Bombyx mori: one gene and its partner. The protein of the gene in region 1 interacts with the protein of each later gene in a pairwise test. Links are inferred from orthologs where the notes say so. Each region holds a gene or a part of one and is shown on either strand. Other genes may lie near its edges. The genes, in order: vacuolar protein sorting-associated protein 45 and rabenosyn-5.

Region 1 (3,825 bases):
TAAGTTAGGTAGGCTTCCTCCACAACCAGTCAAACCGCATCTAAACATTCCTAATATGTTTGGTGTGCGTCCTGTGCACGCCCTGCATAGCCGACTTTATTTCTTCGAAGAATGACGCCGAGTTATGTATGGTGGTCCCGCCGAGCACCACCTTGGCCCCCGGGTTGGCCTTGTTGATCTGGTGCACGCACAGCGACTCCTCGTACGTGGCCCCGCCCACCACGAACACGACGACGTGCGTGGGGCGGCGGCCGTCGTCCCCGCCCAGCGTGGGGTACTGGGCCTCACGCAGCTTGCCCCTCAACAGATCCTCGATCGTGTCCTTCAGGGGGGGCGTGTGTTGCGTGTATATGTTTTCGACGCCGTTCAGACCCTGATAGTTTAGTACACTTGTTTAGCTCATAAGGATCTCTTTGCATCAATATACAGTACACAACGATGAATACTACACGTAGCTCTTTGGATAGGCACTATCGGCTAATGTTTTAATATTTATTTATTTATTTAAGGATTACCGACAGGGTTTACAGTAAGACATTTAACATTGACATGTATAGAGCAATTGATAACTGCAACTCTAATTATAGGCAATCACAGCATGCATTACATTAATATATTAATAGAGATTTAACAATACTATTAATAATAATAAAAAATTAAAAACAAAAGAAAGACAACAAGGGCAGTAATACCCGAGTACTCAGACCAAGGCTGAGGCTGAGGTTCAACAACAACTTTTTATAATTTTGTTCTTAAATATTGGAAGGGAATCGCCAATTATGTCAAGGTTTTATTTATGTAATTACTATAGACGTAAACAAATTATGAGAGGTTTTTTAATACGTTTATTTACGGTTATTCTATTCCGATCTTATCATAAGCATAATGCGTGTGATCATGCAACTACCCGACTATGATTGCATAAGAGAAACCTAGGGGAGGTTATTAGAGCTTATGCAATCTCAAATTATATTTTTACTGGCACAGAGGGCGCGGTGGTCCTTTATCTCCAGCTCGGCAGTATGAGACAGGAGATGGAAGACTCAATTGAGACATGGGTATTACTAATGGGTACTTTCGGGCCGGTTGCGATCCAGAGTGGCTTGTTTGACTAGCCGATGCCTACGCGCGCATTGCTGTTAGCGTGGACCTATATGTTACTTATGACGACGCTGTAGCTGAAAGTAAGTATTGTACTTTTTGACGAAGCATGTTGCTGGTAACTCTATTTCTGTAATCTGACGAAGCGTGTTGCGGATAATAACATGTACTTTTAGGTTATTAAAATAATATTTTGTGTATTGAAACATTCAAGCCATCATGTTGTTATAGATACAGACGGGTGTGAAGCCTTGCGGACACGGCACTCGATTGGCGTGCTAATAATAAGAATTTTAGGAACTGAGCGATGATAAATCTCTAGGTATCTGGATTATTCTAGATTACCTTGAAGAGCCTGTTGGTGATCTTGACCGCGTCCTGCAGACCGAAGAGGTCCCCGTGTCGCGCGTGCGCCCCCCCGTACTCGAGCGCGGCCAGCGGAGCCCCGTCCGCCGCCCCCCGCGCCCGCAGCAGCTCCAGCGCCGCCCCCACCCCCTGCCCCGCGTGCTTCTCGTAGCGCAGCGCGTACAGGCTCGCCAGCCGCGCCGCGTCGCTGTCCCGCAGCGCGCCGTCCGCCAGCAGCGCCTTCAGCCGCTGTGCCGGGACAGTGACGTCACGCTACCCGCACACCCTCACCCTGGACCCCACGTACGGACCACTAGGCACTAGACGTCGTAGCAGCGCCTTCAGCCGCTACGGGACAGTGACGTCACGCTACCCGCACACCCTCACCCTGGACCCCACGTACGGACCACTAGGCACTAGACGTCGTAGCAGCGCCTTCAGCCGCTACGGGACAGTGACGTCACGCTACCCGCACACCCTCACCCTGGACCCCACGTACGGACCACTAGGCACTAGACGTCGTAGCAGCGCCTTCAGCCGCTACGGGACAGTGACGTCACGCTACCCGCACACCCTCACCCTGGACCCCACGTACGGACCACTAGGCACTAGACGTCGTAGCAGCGCCTTCAGCCGCTACGGGACAGTGACGTCACGCTACCCGCACACCCTCACCCTGGACCCCACGTACGGACCACTAGGCACTAGACGTCGTAGCAGCGCCTTCAGCCGCTACGGGACAGTGACGTCACGCTACCCGCACACCCTCACCCCGGACCCCACGTACGGACCACTAGGCACTAGACGTCGTAGCAGCGCCTTCAGCCGCTACGGGACAGTGACGTCACGCTACCCGCACACCCTCACCCACACACCACGTACGGACCACTAGGCACTAGACGTCGTAGCAGCGCCTTCAGCCGCTACGGGACAGTGACGTCACGCTACCCGCACACCCTCACCCCGGACCCCACGTACGGACCACTAGGCACTAGACGTCGTAGCAGCGCCTTCAGCCGCTACGGGACAGTGACGTCACGCTACCCGCACACCCTCACCCACACACCACGTACGGACCACTAGGCACTAGACGTCGTAGCAGCGCCTTCAGCCGCTACGGGACAGTGACGTCACGCTACCCGCACACCCTCACCCACACACCACGTACGGACCACTAGGCACTAGACGTCGTAGCAGCGCCTTCAGCCGCTACGGGACAGTGACGTCACGCTACCCGCACACCCTCACCCACACACCACGTACGGACCACTAGGCACTAGACGTCGTAGCAGCGCCTTCAGCCGCTACGGGACAGTGACGTCACGCTACCCGCACACCCTCACCCACACACCACGTACGGACCACTAGGCCTTAGACATCGTAAGCCGTTGGTCTAACCGAGTAATATCAGCCACTCGGTTAAAGATCTTCCAAAGAGATAAAGATTATTACCTTCCAAACCTATCTATACAGTGTATAAAAAGCCACATCACTGTGCAAATTCCACAGCAACTATAACCCTGTTCTAAGGCAATACCTACTTGGTGACAAATTACTTCCACCGCCGCGGACAAAATGGGTTAAATATTACTAGTGGAAGGACCTCTTGTGAGTCCGCACGGGTAGGTACCACCACGCCACATATTTCTGCCGTGAAGCAGTAATGCGTTTCGGTTTGAAGGGTGGGGTAGCCGTTGTAACTATACTGAGACCTTACAACTCATATCTCAAGGTGAGTGGCGGCATTTACGTTGTAGATGTCTATGGGCTCCAGTAACCACTTCCATCCACCTATGCAGTAAACCAGATCATGTCCAAAGAGGACGACAACATACAGCATGACTGTGTCCTTAACTGAGTGATGAGGTAGTGATCGAGCGAACCTGCAGGTGTTTAGAGTGGTCTGACTGGCAGACGATCTCCTGCTCCAGCTCGGAGACCTCGAGCAGCTTGTGGCGGCCGACACAGGCCGAGAGCTCCCCCACCACGGTCACGTGCTTCGTCACCGTGCCAGACATTTTCTGCGCACACGACGGGGGAAATGAGGAGTCATCCGCGCACAATCACAACTAGGGTTGGAACCTCCGGACACGGCAACCCTTCTTCTTTATTTAAAAAATAATAATTTTTGGACTTTTTGGCGGGAACGCGAGTAGTGAAGTTGTGTGATTTGTTTTATTTTGTCTATTTAGTGTTTCTTCAGGTTTAAATGTGTAATAACGGTGGTTTATTAACTGTTTAATATCTGTGAAAGTGCACAAATGTGGGAAAATTAAACAAAGCCGCCGAACGTCACTTCTCGAGATCCTCCAAAAAGTCAACTGAAAAGATCTCAGTAACACTACACTACAGTAAGACTATACACAAGATGACATCGAA
Region 2 (3,925 bases), on another chromosome or scaffold:
ATACATATATTTAATAAACATCCATAACCCTGGAAAAGAAATTTTATATTTATCATACAAATATCCTCCCGTGGCAGGTTTCGAACCCGCGACCCCCTTGTGTAGTGACCATGTCACTTACCACTACACCAGACGGCCGTTGTATAACAGTTGTCAGTATAACACACTTGTTGAATGTCAAAATATGAATAACAATGTTAACTCTACCACTTGTTCATTCATCGTTGCCCAGGCCTAATTTTCCAAATTCCAAAAAAAAATACAAAAAATTAAACGTGTTTATAGTGGCAGCGGCAAAAATAAAGATAAAGCTGCAATGATTGATTCGTTCATCTAATCAGTTCAAATTCGATGGATTTACAGTATTTTTATATAGACGTGAATAGAACATTAATACATCTAAAGTGCTTACATTAAAAACCTCTAAAATTTGTCAAAGTTCTCAAGAGAGCGAAACGGTACTGTACGTCTTTAGTGTCTTGTGCTCTACAGAGTATAGAGTCGGCATTCAGTGAGTACTGCTGCCTTCTCTGATTCTTTTTTTTTTGTCCTAACTATGCTGATAGCCCTGAGAGGCTATTTCAACTTCTCCTTGACGTGTAGATGAGCTCACGGGGCTCAAACCGGGAGTGTTGCTAACACTGGTCCTAGCAAGAGCAGCGCTTCGCGGAATCTACCATCGGATCGGAAACGTGATCCGGCGAGAAACTCAGTGGGCTCTGTCTATGACGTTAATTCACTCGTCGAGCCCTTCCACGGTTTCGACTAGGACGGTGACCGGATTCCTGATTCTCTGGCCCCTTGACTCCGTACAGGAAGGGCCGCTCAGGTCAGGCCCTTGTGTTTTATACCGCATGGTCACTGAGGAATGTTCTAATAAACTCTTCGTCATCATTTTTCCTCATAGCCCGCAGCTAACCAGAGTTCCTTTGTGGATCTACTTAATTTTTGGAGGTGGGTAGATGGACGGATTGCTTGTATCCCGAAGGCTTCAGAACGGATGGGCGTACACGGGCAGCCAGGAACGGTGGGATATACTAATAACTGACCGATAGCCCCCGAAGGAAACCTAATAGCTCGAGAGCAGCTGTTTCGCAACCTCAACACCGAATTTCAACTCTAGGGTAAACTATTAGCGTTAAAGCTAGAAGCGACGAACATGGCTTCCGAGTGACTCCCCTCTACGATTTTTTCTGATCACTGACATTTTTTTATTTGTTGGAGTGTATTTAATAAAGCCCATAGATTATACACTTAATATATACGAATAAAGCCTATAAAAAAAAACACAGTGTGGTGTTGAATTAATGAAACGCACATGTATGGCTCAGCTGACGTTTGACACTTACTTCCTCTTGACAGTAATCACAATTACTGTGTGATTAATGTCTAGTGTTCACCTTGGTGATGATTAATAATTGCAGTTAATTTATAATGCTAAATTGGTGAGAAGTGATATTAATAATGGCAACGGCCAACGACGATGAAATTCTTGAGGGCTTCTTGTGTCCCATATGTAAAGCAGATCTCAAATCCGCCTCACAACTAACAAATCATTTCGAAAGTCTTCATCAAGAAGATCAAGATGTTTTGAAATCATTAAAAGACATTTTTGGTAAAGCAAAGACAATAATACTGAATAATGACAATGCTGATTTGAAAGAGACATTCGCGCGTGCTTTGAAGTTTAATTACCAAGATTATTATGATGAAGAGCAGGTGATCGGAGTATCACGTAGTTCAACCGATTACTTTAAGGGTGTGAGGTTTTCCAGGCTTGAAAGATACGCTACGGAGACTAATAAGCTGTTGATTCGGTTGGATAAACTCATTTGTAACATGCCAAGTGACCCTCATCAAAGAAAAATTCATGAGCAAGATGTATGTATTAAATAATTATGTTTAATAGTTAACCTGGTAACATTTAACTAACTAAAATAATATAAATGCCATTGGAATGTTAAAATAATTTCTCATTTTATTGTATATGTATTTTTCCAGGCTGTGCCATGGTTAGATGGTTCATCAGTTAATCTGTGTCCCAACTGTGCGAAACCCTTTCACTTGACACGCAGGCAACATCATTGTCGACTATGTGGCTCCATACTATGTCATGACTGCTCTGTTTTTCTAGATATTGAAGTAGCTAGTAAGTTACACATATATTATTTTAAATATTCTTCAATTATGTTATTAATATAGTAATTAACCAAAAGCAATGACCTTATGCAACTCTCCAGTATTCTAAAAAGGCACCTAACTCTTGATTGAACAGGGAAAACAAAATAATATATATTTTAGTTTAGTATCTTGTATTATTGCAGTGTAGAATTACAACTCCGATTATCTTGCCTGTAATGAGTGTATGATTTTACATTTCAGAAACTATTATAAATCCATCAGCTCCAAAACCAGTATCAAATCCGGAACTAAAGCTAACAGAGAAGAATGGATTACGTCTCTGTGAACATTGTTACAATTTGATCAAACTGCGGAAACAAGTGCAAGAAACAAGAAACACAAAGACTGAACTCGTAACGGCCTATGAAGAGATGAGGAGTCTTATGGAGCAAGCCAAACCAGCTGTTGCTATGTATGAAAAGGTATTTATAAGAATTTGTGACTACTTGTCTTGTAGTGTCAATAGAAAATATAAAAAAAAAAGAAAAAACAGTAACTACATATTAAGTACATTAAATTTCTTCTTACCAATTTTGTAAAAAATTTATTATTTTCAAACGGTACTGTTATATTCAAATATTATTGTTTTTACTTGTGTAATGTATTAGTTTGGGTATTACTAAGTGCGGATGGCTTAAAATAGATACACAATGAACTGACATGTTACCCGTTTAGTTTGCTTAGGTTCATTCATTCATTCATTCATCATCAGCGACTATTGTCATCCACTGTCGGACATCTCCCTATCCATACCACTGAGCCCCGTGTTTGGCTCTCCTCATCCACCTCTTCCGGCCAACACTCGGAGATCATTGCATGTGCTTAGGTTCATAATTCACTAAATAAAATAATAAAACAACAGCTTAAGAACAGTTTCTACATACATTACAGATGTGCCAAAGTCTCTTTGATGGTGAAACAACCTACAATATGTCTGATGTGAATGCAATGCGAGGTCGTATAGGGAAGTTGGCTGAAGGCATAGACTTGCTGAGTAAGCAGATAGTCAGCTTCCCGGCAGAGCCTGGCACAAGGCAAGCCAGGCTACAGAATGCTATAAGGCAAGCTGCAGGACATTATATTAAGGTAAATAAAAATGCTTCAATATTTATTTAAAGTGAAACTTTAAATTTTTAACTTTAAATAAATATTTACCCTCAACTAGTTTTTAGAGATTTCTAATGTAGTCATGTCGGAATCATGATTTAGACAGCGACTTTGTATTGCTTACTTCTATAACCATCAGCTTGGCTGTAATAAAAAATGTTTAGAACAAAAGCCTGGTAATATTCTTAATCTTCCCATGTACCTAACACGAATTAAAACCATAAAATAATTATTTTGTTCCTTAATTTTGGACTGAAATCTTGTCAAATTTGGATTTCTGAAATTTAGAGTAGATGGCTCGCTGGAGTCATGTTCTTACTGACTACGAAAAACATTTCAACACATCTAATAATAAAAGTACTGGATACTGATTGTAGATAATAAAGAGAGAAAAAAAGAAGAAAATATATTTCTACGTTTATTGCCTTGACATTCATTTTCAAATAACGTTCTGATTTCAGGAAGACTTACTGTCCTTAAGGAAGCTCCCGACCGAAGCTCAGATCGAGGAGGTGCGTCGTCAGCGCTACGAGCGTGCCGAGAAACAAATACAAATGGAGCGGGAACGTATGGAGCGCGAGCGGCAGCGGCGGGAGGGTGCGCCCGGCGCCGCCCCACCCCCCGCCCTGACCCCCGC

Evidence for each region.
Region 2: the proteins of vacuolar protein sorting-associated protein 45 (region 1) and rabenosyn-5 interact in a two-hybrid assay, tested with the Drosophila melanogaster proteins (2 studies listed by BioGRID). The link is inferred for Bombyx mori from reciprocal best matches to the Drosophila melanogaster genes Vps45 and Rbsn-5.

The regions. Positions count from the first base shown.
Region 1 is NC_085122.1:2,067,676-2,071,500, reverse strand, and holds part of vacuolar protein sorting-associated protein 45, read right to left. Parts: intron 3,468-3,825; coding exon 3,330-3,467; intron 1,696-3,329; coding exon 1,447-1,695; intron 374-1,446; coding exon 41-373; 3' UTR 1-40.
Region 2 is NC_085116.1:3,152,527-3,156,451, forward strand, and holds the start of rabenosyn-5, read left to right. Parts: upstream 1-1,296; 5' UTR 1,297-1,464; coding exon 1,465-1,881; intron 1,882-2,001; coding exon 2,002-2,149; intron 2,150-2,382; coding exon 2,383-2,603; intron 2,604-3,072; coding exon 3,073-3,267; intron 3,268-3,749; coding exon 3,750-3,925.